Canis lupus familiaris: one gene and its partners. The protein of the gene in region 1 interacts with the protein of each later gene in a pairwise test. Links are inferred from orthologs where the notes say so. Each region holds a gene or a part of one and is shown in the gene's direction. Other genes may lie near its edges.

The links.
Region 2: the proteins of VCP (region 1) and FAM104A interact in binary tests that used the Homo sapiens proteins (3 or more experiments, as listed by UniProt). The link is inferred for Canis lupus familiaris from reciprocal best matches to the Homo sapiens genes VCP and VCF1.
Region 3: the proteins of VCP (region 1) and UBXN2A interact in binary tests that used the Homo sapiens proteins (3 or more experiments, as listed by UniProt). The link is inferred for Canis lupus familiaris from reciprocal best matches to the Homo sapiens genes VCP and UBXN2A.

What each region holds. Positions count from the first base shown.
Region 1 is NC_049232.1:51,938,189-51,941,831, reverse strand, and holds part of VCP (transitional endoplasmic reticulum ATPase), read left to right. Parts: intron 1-52; coding exon 53-183; intron 184-930; coding exon 931-1,062; intron 1,063-2,128; coding exon 2,129-2,231; intron 2,232-2,862; coding exon 2,863-2,996; intron 2,997-3,073; coding exon 3,074-3,209; intron 3,210-3,563; coding exon 3,564-3,643. UniProt on the Homo sapiens protein: Necessary for the fragmentation of Golgi stacks during mitosis and for their reassembly after mitosis. Involved in the formation of the transitional endoplasmic reticulum (tER).
Region 2 is NC_049230.1:7,824,705-7,828,784, forward strand, and holds the start of FAM104A (protein FAM104A), read left to right. Parts: upstream 1-1,250; 5' UTR 1,251-1,265; coding exon 1,266-1,498; intron 1,499-1,843; exon of another isoform or gene 1,844-2,106; coding exon of another isoform or gene 2,107-2,156; intron 2,157-4,080.
Region 3 is NC_049238.1:18,506,632-18,510,800, forward strand, and holds the start of UBXN2A (UBX domain-containing protein 2A), read left to right. Parts: upstream 1-1,339; 5' UTR 1,340-1,548; intron 1,549-1,893; exon of another isoform or gene 1,894-2,041; intron 2,042-2,219; exon of another isoform or gene 2,220-2,237; intron 2,238-4,169. UniProt on the Homo sapiens protein: Acts to repress the ubiquitination and subsequent endoplasmic reticulum-associated degradation of CHRNA3 by the STUB1-VCP-UBXN2A complex in cortical neurons.

The sequences.
Region 1 (3,643 bases):
TTGCTCTGGTATTTGACATCTCTGACTGCACTTGTGCTAATTACTCTCACAGGAGACATTTTCCTTGTCCGGGGTGGAATGCGTGCTGTAGAGTTCAAAGTAGTGGAGACAGATCCCAGTCCTTACTGCATTGTTGCCCCAGACACAGTGATCCACTGTGAAGGGGAGCCTATCAAACGAGAGGTGAGTTCTCTCCTTTATCCCAGTACCCAATTTCATGATTACAAAGTGGGGCGGTCATATGGTAACTACTAACTGTGAGTGCTCTTTGGGGGCACCTGGGTGGCTCAGTTGGTTAAGCATCTGACTCTTGATTTCAACTCCGGTCATAATCTCAGGGTTGTGAGGTTGAGCCCTGTTTTGGGCTCCATACTAGGTCTGGAGCCTGCTTAAGATTCTCTCCCTTTCGCTCTGTAGCCTGCTCCCTCCGCCCCTGCTCCCACCCATCTCTGTCTTCCTCTATTAAAAATAAAACTGAGTGCTCTTTGGAACTAAGCTTTTTTCCAGAGGTTGTGAAAATGTTTCAACTATTCATTTCTGGGCCTGTGTGTTTCTAGAAGTATATGATACCAGTAATTTTTAAAATCCAGATTGAACTCAAAAGATCTAAGTGGTTGGAATAATTTTTGTAGAAGTGACATTGATGATGGCATCCAGACCTCTGTCTGTTTCCCAGTTTCTAGCTTTAGTCTTAGGGTGGTTCTTTCCAGTAATACTAAGGGCAGTGTAAAAGGGAAAGACTATGCTGAAAATCTTTGCTTTGGGATTTTTAGAATTGTTCTTTGAGTCAGGATCCCCCTTAGAGGAGAATCCTCTCGTAAAATAGGTTTCTCTATACCAGATTGTAGAAGGATTTGGCGAAACTCAACTTTTGCTAATAATAATAATATTCCTGCCTTTTTTTTTTTTCTTTGTCTTCTCTGTATTCAGGATGAGGAAGAGTCCTTGAATGAAGTAGGCTATGATGATATTGGTGGCTGCAGGAAACAGCTGGCTCAGATAAAGGAGATGGTGGAGCTACCTCTCAGACATCCTGCTCTCTTTAAGGCGATTGGTGTTAAGGTGAGTATCCTGGGACATAATGTAGGCTGGTAATTAACAAAGACTCGGGTCAATTCTTGTTGCATTATTTTTTATATTATGGTTATTTAAAAATGTAAAAACCATTTTTATCTCACGGACCCTATAAAAACAAATCTCATCATAGTTGCCTACCTGTATGTAACAATGTCACCCAAGAAAAGTTTAAGGAAATTTGCAGTGTGTGAAGGGTCCTGAATCCAAAACATGTGAGAACTGCAGACCTACAATGTGACTTCCTAACTGTTCCATATCATGGGCACAGTGAAGATGAAATTACCCTCTTCTCTAGTATGTACCATACAAATAATTTTATCTTCTATATGGGCATTTCCCATGTGCAGCCTGTGGATAGGCCATAAAAAAGACAGCTTCAAAGAGAAAAACTTGTGGTTGTTGGTGGTAAGGAAAAGCATTCAAATATGATAGATCCTAGAGGGTTGTGATTATTGGAATGAGTGAGCCTGTGGCAATACTCTTCCTTAGATAGCTAAAAACTAGTCCTGGCCCTTGTCTGTCCAAAGTCAAAACCTTGGCCTATTGGCCTCTTGCTTTTTTGTAGTCCCAGGATCTTCAGACTTAGCCATACTAGAGTTTCTTAGGGTGGTTTCTGTGCTCTTAGTCTCCTATGCCAAGGTATAATCATAAATGTCAGTTTTCTAGGGATCCCTGGGTGGCTCAGCAGTTTAGCGTTTGCCTTCAGCCCAGGGCGTGACCCCGCAGTTCCAAGATCGAGTCCCACATCGGGCTCCCTGCATGGAGCCTGCTTCTTTTTCCCTCTGCCTGTGTCTCTGCCTCTCTATATATACCTCTCATGAATAAATAAAATCTTAGAAAAATGAAATAAAATAAAATAAATGTCAGTTTTCTGCTAATAAGAGGAGTGAGTATGGCCTGAAGTAAACTTTCTTAGTAGTTTATGCTGAGGGCTCAAAACTGATTCTCACTCTCTATCTAGATAGAGCCACATTCAAACCATTTTAGAGTGGGTGGAGTTGGGAGAAGGTAGGAGTCTGAACCTAATCACTCTCTCTGTACTGGTCCTTAGCCTCCTCGGGGAATCTTGCTCTATGGACCTCCTGGAACTGGGAAGACCCTAATTGCCCGAGCTGTGGCAAATGAGACTGGAGCCTTCTTCTTCTTAATCAATGGTAGGAGAATTGGTTCACCTTGTATTTGGCTGGATCTTACACTGAGCTGAGCATGATCCAGTCTCACGAGCTGGAGAACTCACGGACACATTTATTTGCATACATACCCTCATGTATATTTCATCATCTTTCTTCTGCTGGGTTACATTGTGGACAGATAAGCAACAAGGGGAAGGTATTGTACTCTGGTGTCCCTGATCTATCCTCCCTTGAGAGAGAAAGGCTGAAGACATTTAGGGGTAGCAAGTTAGAATGAGAACTCAAAAATTTTGTCTGCTAGTTTATTTGAGAGGGTTTGGGGGAAGATTGACATTAGCTGCCTCTTTGAAAATGATAGAGGTCCATCTGGTATGCTGGTTCTCTTGCCCTGGCCTGAGGGTCCAGGGCATGTGCTGGCATCTTGACATTTAGAGCTTGACTGAGATAGGTGTGAGTTCCTTGTGGTTTCCCTCCAGCCTAGTTTGTGCCTATCCTGGGATAGTATCTGGGAGAGTCTGTGAGAAAGTAGGCAGAGGTTACCACATGTTTACATAGCACCTGTTTCTGGACCAGCCAGATAAGAGATCTGATTTATCTTGGGATTGAGGGAAGGATGTATTTTTGTCATTGTTTCTATTCTGTATCCTTTCAGGTCCTGAGATCATGAGCAAGTTGGCTGGTGAGTCTGAGAGCAACCTTCGTAAAGCCTTTGAGGAGGCTGAGAAGAATGCTCCGGCTATCATCTTCATTGATGAGCTAGATGCCATCGCTCCCAAAAGAGAGAAAGTAGGAACTTGCCCAAGGGGATAGTGGGGGTTAAAAGGTCCTCACTTCACTTCTGACCAGACATCCTGTCCTGACAGACCCATGGGGAGGTGGAAAGGCGTATTGTATCACAGTTGTTGACCCTTATGGATGGCCTAAAGCAGAGAGCACATGTGATTGTCATGGCAGCAACCAACAGACCCAATAGCATTGACCCAGCCCTTCGGCGATTTGGTAAGGACCTCAAATTTCTTCCGACCCTGTTCTTGCTCATAGGGAATCTATAGCTCTACTAAGCTTAATCTCTTTTAAGAGATTCTGTTCTTCATCTTAGTCCTAATCTGAGGATTTCTTGAAGCTCCTTGCAGTGATAGGGCCCAAGGGTCCTTTCCCTTATCTCGTGTCCTATCTATAGTGACAAACCATCCTGGTTTGTCTGAAACTGAGGGATTTTCTAGAACTTGGAACTTTCAGTGCTAACACCAGGAGAGTCCTGGACAGACAGGGATGATTGGTCATGTGAGACCTGTCCCTTCTTTCCTGTAGCCCAGAAATGAGCCCTGTCTATGTTCACACCCTGTTCTGCAGGTCGCTTTGACAGGGAGGTAGATATTGGAATCCCTGATGCTACAGGACGCTTGGAAATTCTTCAGATTCATACCAAGAAC
Region 2 (4,080 bases), on another chromosome or scaffold:
CCTCCCCGCCGCAGTCCCCGCCCCGCCCCGCCCTGCTCCCTCCTCCCCGTCCCCGCCGCGGTCCCCGCCCCGCCCCCCCTCCCCTCCCCGCCGCCCCTCCCCTCCCCTCCCCAGTCCCCGCCCCGCCCCGCCCCGCTCCCCCCTCCCCCTCCCCGCCGCGGTCCCCGCCCCGCCCCCCCCTCCCCGCCGCGGTCCCCGCCCCGCCTCCCCTCCCCTCCCCTCCCCGCCGCGGTCCCCGCCCCGCCCCTCCCCGCCCCGCCCCCCGCTCCCTCACCGTTTCCGGAAGCCGAGCCGCCGCTTCCCCCGAGGGGGCGGGGCCCGCCGGAGCCGCACGGACGCCGAAGGGGCTCGCCCGCCCCCCGACCGAGTCCCCGTCCCCCCCGACACGGGCCGTGGGCCGCTGGACACAGCCCGACCGGCCGCGCCCCGCCCCGCCCGCCCCGAGCGGCGTCCTCACCTGGCCAGGTGCGGCGTTCCGGAAGCCCCCGCGCCCGCGCCCCCGGCCCCCGGCCCCCGCCCCGAGCCGCGGCCTCAGCCGTGCAGGACCCCGCCGCGGGCCGCCCGCGTCACTGCCTGACGCCTCCCAGCCGTGCTTTCAAAAGCCCCGTCCGCGCACAGGGGCCTAACTCAGGTCCCCGCGCCGTATTATGAGGACACCATTTAGTCCGGTTTGCACCTGGGCTGACTGCGGCGGCGTGGCCGCTCGGCTGCGAACAGGCGAAAGCCGAGGCCGCCTCTCCCGAGGCCCTCCCCGCCCCCGCAGGAGCTCCGGGCGGCCCCGCCCCGCTCGGGGCCCGCCTCTTCCTGGGGGCGGGGTTACCGGTCGGCGCGGCCGGGCTCGCGCCAGTGCGCAGGCGCGAGAGGGCGGTACCACGGCGGCCGCGACATGGGGGGGCGCGGAGCGGACGCCGGAAGTCGCGGCGGTACGGGTCCCACCGAGGGGTACGCGCCGCCGGCAGCGTCCACCCGCGCCGCGGCCAGAGCCAAGGCCCGAGGGGGTGGGCGTGGCGGCCGCCGCAGCGCAGCCCCGTCGGTTCCCTCGGCTCGCGGCGCGGCCCCGCGTCGCTCCCCTCCACCGGCTGCCATGAGCGAGCGCCTCCGCCCCAGGTGAGACCGCGGGGACCCCCTTCCTCCCCAGCCCTTGGCGGGGGCTGAGCCGAGGGCGCGCGGGGCGGGGGGTCCGAGCGGGCGTGGGCGCTGCGACTGTGCCCCTGGGTGCCGAGCGGCCCGGGAGGGGGCGGGGAGCAGCCGGGGCAGGAGGAGGGATGCGCCAGGACCTGGTCCCCGCGGTGCCGGAGGGGTCACTCGCCGGGTCCCCCCCCCCCGGGCCTCCCTACTTGGAACGCAGCCTGAACGGCCCCGGGAGAGAGGCAGTGGCCCTAAAGCCCGCCTGTCCTAAATTTAGGAGGGTGGGGGGATGGGAGGACGGTCGGGTCCGAGGGACGAGCCCCCATCGGCGTCCTGCGGGGCCGGGGCGCGAGGCTGCCGCGTCCCCAAGGTCAGGCGGGAGGGTCGGCTGTGACCTGCCGCGGGGAGGGATGGGGAGGCGCGGACGGTTGTGAGCGTGGAAGGACAGGTGCGGTGCCCAGAGCGGCTCGTCGGGGCTCAGCAGGCAGGTTCTAAACTGTCTGGACGCGGGGCCGTTTGCCTCCGAAGGCGGGAGGTGGGGCTGCACCGCGCTGCTGCCCCTGGGCCCCTGGGCCCCTGGGCCCCTGTGCCCCTGTGCCCCGAGCCTGGCCTGGGCCCCGGCCTCCCCCGGACCGACGGCGGCTGCCTCTGCTCGGCGCGCGCGGGCTTCTGTCTGTCTCATCATCGCCTGCCTCCCCCTTGTAAGAAGGTAGGCGGGGGAGGCGAAAGTGGGGCGCGGGCACCCCAGGTGAAGAGGAGCAACTCCACCTCCGGTTAGAAGAACCCCCTCCTCGTCGTGGGATCCCAAGGCCCGACACCGCCCTCCTTCTCATGAGGAAACCGAGTTCACCTGGTCCGCGCCCGTCTTCCCGGGTTGCCCGCTCTTCTCCGTAAAGCCCAAGCGAGTCCAGGAGGATCGCCTCGGCCAGGTTCTGCTGCATCTCTTCTTGTTGCTCCGTGTTTATCCATTGGCTCCGAATGGAATTGGCAGTCTTCGCACGGAGATCCTGCGCCGGCCCCGGAGGATGGTTAATTCGGGGATGAGGATCCTGGGAAACATCCTGAGGTTTTATTTGGTCCAGTAGGGAAAAACCTAGGGTCGCCCGTACTAATGCACTGGGTTATTGGATGATTGAGTCTCGGGTACGTAGTGAGTGGGGGCATGAAAAAGCCCGCTTGTAGTAGGAAAAAAGAGCGGTCTAAGTTTGAAATGAGAGGCCCAATTGGACCTGGCATTGGAATTAGGAACAGGAACCTTTGGCAGAGTAAGCCAGATCTACCTGCCGTTGTTTTCCTTCCCAAACCTGGTTGATCCTTCTGATAGTTTCTTGTGATGTCTCTGTATCTGAAAAAGCCTACATATTTCCTGCAGAAAGATTTCTTTTACCCACGGCTGGATAAGCAAATCTGAATGTGCTTTTTTATACTGTAGCAGATGCCTTTTATCTAGCACACAAATAACCCCAGCGTGTTTATACTGGTAACATCATTGCTATAAAAGAAACCATGTGATTTGGACTGGGGCTTCTCACCTACTTTTTCACCCAGTGTTTCATGGAATATGACGGACCAGCTCTGCCAGCTGCGGCTGTCATAATATCTCCAAGTCAGTTCAGTTTTCTAGATCTGTTTTCTCAATTTTAAGATAAGGGGTTGATCTGAGATGGTGATTTTTCAGACTGTTCCAAAATATACTGGGATGGCCATAGAAGGGAAGATGTATGTCAAAGAAACCCCTACTTTAACCAAAAGAAGTCCTTTGTTTCTTTTATATATGAGTGTATACACGTATATATGTGTGTGTGTATATATACACATGTATACGTATATATGTAATATATATAAAAGAGTGTATACACATCTATATATGTGTGTATAGATGCATATACGTATATGTATACATATATATGTGTTGAGGGATTACCCCCCACCCCCAGAGAAAGAAAAGGGCTCTGTTACTTTTTTTTTTTTTTTAAAGTTTGAAAAACACTAATGTGGATACTCTTAAAGATTTCTTCTATGCTCAGTTTCTAGGAGATGACAGGAAGATTGGAAAGAAATGAAATGATGGGTAGTGATGTAATCAGCCATCCTTAGAAGTAGCAGATGCTAAACAACAATCTGTAACTAGATGCCTGGGGAGAATATAATCAATTATATGGGGGCTGCTAAAATTATAACCTGGTCTGTTGCATTAATATGGAAGGCTGTAATCTGACTTTGTGAGTAAGGTTGAACCTGCTATAATCTTGGCAATTATTAACAATACTGTTAAAAGAATATTTCAAGGATGGAATCTGCAAAGAGTCTAGAAAAGGAGAGAGAACAGGAGGGCTCATTCTTAATCCAGTACTATCCAAAGGAGAGGGCCCCTGACAGGAGCTAATTTGGGTGACCTGAGAAAGCAGCTGGGTATAAGGCAGGGATATTTCATGGTACTTGCCCAGAAAGTTAGTTGGAATCTGAAAAAACCAGCCCATCCTTTTTGTTCTTACACTTTGCCTGAGAACCTTCTTGACATTTCTTTTCTTGTCATTGGGTAGCTATAGCCTGGATTATAAATGAGGACATTGGAAACTTTGGGTCAGGCTCATAAGCGGTTAGAGTAGCTCAGCAGCCCAGAACACAGTCAGCTGCTGGCATATTGATAAGAGTTTGGAGGCCAGCATTCAGTGAGTTTCCCTGGGGTGTCAACTGGCCTTCTGTTGGACCTTGCTGTGTCACTGCTGCTCATCTCCAAAACAATTCTCTGGTCATATTATGATGAAAGTAGTAATTCCTTGGTTCAAATCTGTGGTAGTAGCACATCCACTTAAATGAGTATCAAACCTGCTTTTCACCTAGTTTTGAGCCTCAAAATACTTCAAAGTAACGTGCAGTTAAGATCTAAAACCCTGGGAGAAAGGTTACAGAGCAGAAATGATGGTCTTAGAAACAGACGAGTCTTAGAAC
Region 3 (4,169 bases), on another chromosome or scaffold:
CTCTCTCTCTCTCTCTCTTTGTGACTATCATAAATAAATAAAATTTTTTTAAAAAACCCACAATGAATGCCAACCACTTCACACCCATTAGGATGGCTACTAAAAAAAAAACATCCTAATGATGGAAAATAGTAAGTGCTGTCCAGGATACAAGGAGAGACCTGAATACTTGTGCATTGCTGAAGGGAATATTTTTTTTTTTTTTTTTTTTTTTTTTTTTTGAAGGGAATATTAAGATGCTGTACTCAGGGATGCCTGGGTGGCTCAGCAGTTGAGTATCTGCCTTTGGCTTAGGGCGTGATCCAGGTAACAGGCTGGAGTCTCACATCCCGCTCCCTGCAAGGAGCCCGCTTCTCCCTCTGCCTATGTCTCTGCCTCTCTCTGTGCCTCTCATGAATAAATAAGATCTTAAAAAAAAAAAAAAAAAAAAAAGATGCTGTACTGATTGTGGAAAACAGCTTCGCAGGTCCTCAAAAAGTCACACCCCATGTGACCCAGCAATTCCGCATCTAGATATATACAAAATAATCAGAAGGAAGAGAATTACTTATACACAGATGCTCACAGCCCCATTTTTCACAATGGCCAAAACGTGGGAACAATCCAAATGTCCATCAGCAGATGAGTGGATAAACAAAAAAATGATCTATACAACGACGACATGCTTTTCAGCATAAAAAAGAATAAATTCTGGGGCGCCTGGGTAGCTCAGTCAGTTTTGCGTCTGAGTTTGCCCTTGTCCCTGGGTTAGAGCCTCAGGTCGGGCTTCCAGCTCCGGAGGGACTCAGCTTCTCCCTCCGTCTGCCCCTCCCTCTCTCAGCCCCTCCCCCTGCTCATTCTCAAAAATAAATAAGTAAATAAGCAAATAAATAAATTTTAAAAACCTTTGAAAAAAAGAAATTTTGATACCTGCTCCAACATGGATGAACCTTGAAAACATAATGCTAAGTGAAATGAGGGCAGGCACCAAAGGACAACTAGTGCATGACTGCACCTGGATGAGGTACCTAGACTAGGGTCGCTTCATGAGTTGGGAAGAAGAGGGAAAAGGACCCCTCCAATGGGGTGCGGAGAGCGAGAGGGAACTCTGACCGGGAGATGTGCCACGGGCTCCAAGGTCAGGCAAAAAAAAAAAAAAAAAAAAAAAAGGCTCGCTTCTCACAGGGAGAGGTGAACAAAGACTAGAAAGAACTGTATGTGAGGGACTTGTGAGGGTGGCAGCGAGGGCAGCGCCGCACGCGGAGGTGAGCCTCGGGCGGGTGAGTGCGCGTCGGACTCGTGCCCGTGGCGGAGCGGCGTAACTCAGGCGTGGTCAAATCTCCGTGGCCCGGATCCCCCCAGCCTGGGGGGCGAGGGCCGCCGCTCCACCTGGCCGCGCGAGGCAAGAACGAAGAGCGGAACTGGGCCGCCGTGGCCGACGGCCGTGGGTGAACAGGGGGGCCCGCGTGAGCCACCGCCGAGCTACACCTGGAAGGCGGCCCCCGCAGGGAACCCTCCCGGGGCGCGGACGGGCGCGGCGGCGGGGATTCCAGAATCACGCGGCTCGCGGTAAGTTCAACGTTGTCAGAATGCGGGGAAAGCCGTCCGCCGACTCCGTGGGAGGCTGAAGAGGAGGTCGGTAGACGCGGGGTTCCTAGGGGAGCCCACTCCTCGCTCCCAGCATTTTCGGCGCGGGGTGAGAAGGCAGCCCGCGGCGTCGCCGGCGGCAGGGACCAGGCAGCCGCCATTAGCGCGCGCGCCGGAGCCGAGGCGCCGGCCGGCCCCGCCCCCCCGCCCCCCCGCCCCCAGCCCCGCGCGCGCTCTCGGGTCCGCGCGGAGCCTGCGGTGAGCGCGCTCGGCGGCCGGCGGCGGCCGCGAGGCGGAGACGCAGGCGGGAGGGCCGGGTCCCGGCGGCGCGGGCCCGCGAGCCTCCGCGGGTCTGAGGGCGGTGGCGCCCCCTCACCCCACCCCGCGTGAGGGGGGCTCCAGCCCGGCGGCGGCGGCGGCGCCCGCGGTGTCGGAGCCAACCGAGGACCAGGCCGCGAGGCGACCGCGCCCGGAGGTGAGTGCGCCGGGGCCGTGCCCGGTTCGGCGGGGTGAGGCGCCGGGACGCGCGCTGGCCGGCGGGGGCGGGGGCGGGCGGGGCGCGCTGGGGCGCGCCCGGGCTCAGCCCTGAAGTCGGTTTCCGTTCGGCTGAGCCCCGGGTCCCGGCGGTGTCGGTGTCCCCGGCGGCGGCGGCGAGACCCCCGGCCCCTCAGGTGAGCCCCGGCTCGGGCCTGCAGCCTGCGCCAGCTTCGTGCGTGGGAGCTCGGTGCAGGCACCGCAGAGGGCTTCCGCTCCAGGGGCGCTCGGAAACTTCGAGGCGGGCGCACTCAAAATGCCCGCATTTTTCTCTTTTCTCATTTTATTTTATTTTATTTTATTTTATTTTATTTTATTTTATTTTATTTTTTATTTCATTTCTTGACGAGAGACACAGAGAGGCAGAGACATAGGCAGAGGGAGAAGCAGCGTCCCTAAGGGGAGGGGAGCCGAGGCGGGACTCGATCCCAGGACCCCGAGATCGGGACCTGAGCCACCCAGGTGCCCCTGCCCGCATTTCCAAAGGCGTGTGCTGCAGGAGCACTGTGCAGAAACACCAGGCGCGTTTGTTTGGGGTGGCCATTTCTCAGGTAGCTTCATCACCAGTCCTTCCATGACACTCTTTTTTGTAGGTTTCGTGTTCGCTGTTTCCCATGTTTAATATTTGTGTGCGCGCGTCTTTTTTTTTTGTTCGCGGTTTCTTATTAGCAATAAGGAACGTTAGGGTGGCCTCCAACACTAATTCCTTAGTACACATAATTTGGGATAATGGAAAATAAAGATAGGAAACTATTGATGTCAGTGTGGAACTGTAAAGTATGACACTTTGATGAGTGCCCACCGTACCATGGTAATATCCCTTAAAGATTTTCTGTTTTTTTTTTTTTTGACCCATATAGAGTTTGCCTTATGGACTTTACATTGTTATTGGAGGGAACCAATTGAACAACTAATCACACAAGTCTTATCAGTTGACCCTTGAACAACGGTGGGAGTGTTAGGGATGCCAACCCCCACACAGTGGGAAATCTGTGTATGAATTCTGATTTCCCCAAAATTTCACTACTTAGAGCCTACTGTTGACCAAAAGCCTTAAACAACACGTATTTGGTATGTTACATATATTATGATTTGTGCTTACAATAAAGTAAGCTAGAGAAAAAATATTAGGAAGAAAATCATAAGGAAGAGAAAATACACTTACAGTAATGTCTTGTATAGAAAAAAGTGCACTTCATCTAAGTGAACCTGCATAGTTCAAACCTGTATTGTTCAAGGATCAACTGTAAATGCCAGTAAACCTAAATAAAAGCTTAAAAAGGAAGAATATAGTATATTGTGAGAACGCATAACAAAGGGGATAACCAGCTGGGGAAATCAGTTCAAGTAATCTTAGGAAAGTAATCATCCAGCTAAGATGGTATGGATAAATAGGAATTAGTTAAAGGTGACTCCCAAAGGAGGGAAGAAAGGTCCTGCTTGGCAAAGGAAACAGGTTCCCCAGAGGGAGGTTAGGGAAATATATAGAACTGAAAGGTCAAAGCAGTTGATTTTTTTTTTAATTTTTTATTTTTTATGATAGTCACACACAGAGAGATAGAGAGAGGCAGAGACACAGGCAGAGGGAGAACCAGGCTCCATGCACCGGGAGCCCAACGTGGGATTCGATCCCGGGTCCCCAGGATCATGCCCTGGGCCAAAGGCAGGCGCTAAACTGCTGCGCCACCCAGGGATCCCCAGTTGATTTGAATGTAGAATGCAGTAGGGGGAAAAAGAGATGATGCCAGGTCTTTTAGGCAATTTTAAGGATTTGGGACCGGCTTTTTTTCTCTTTTTCTTAAAGCTTTAGAGTGATATTTTTCTTTTTTTTTTTTTTTAAGATTTTATTTATTTATTCATGAGAGATACACAGAGAGAGAGGCAGAGACACAGGCAGAGGGAGAAGCAGGCTCCATGCAGGGAGCCTGATGTGGGACTTGATCCCGGGGCTCCAGGATCACACCCTGGGCCGAAGGCAGTGCTAAACCCCTAAGCCACCCTGGCTGCCCCTAGAGTGATATTTTTCAAATCACTCAAATGTGATGAGAGAACAGTACAGTAAATTTCTC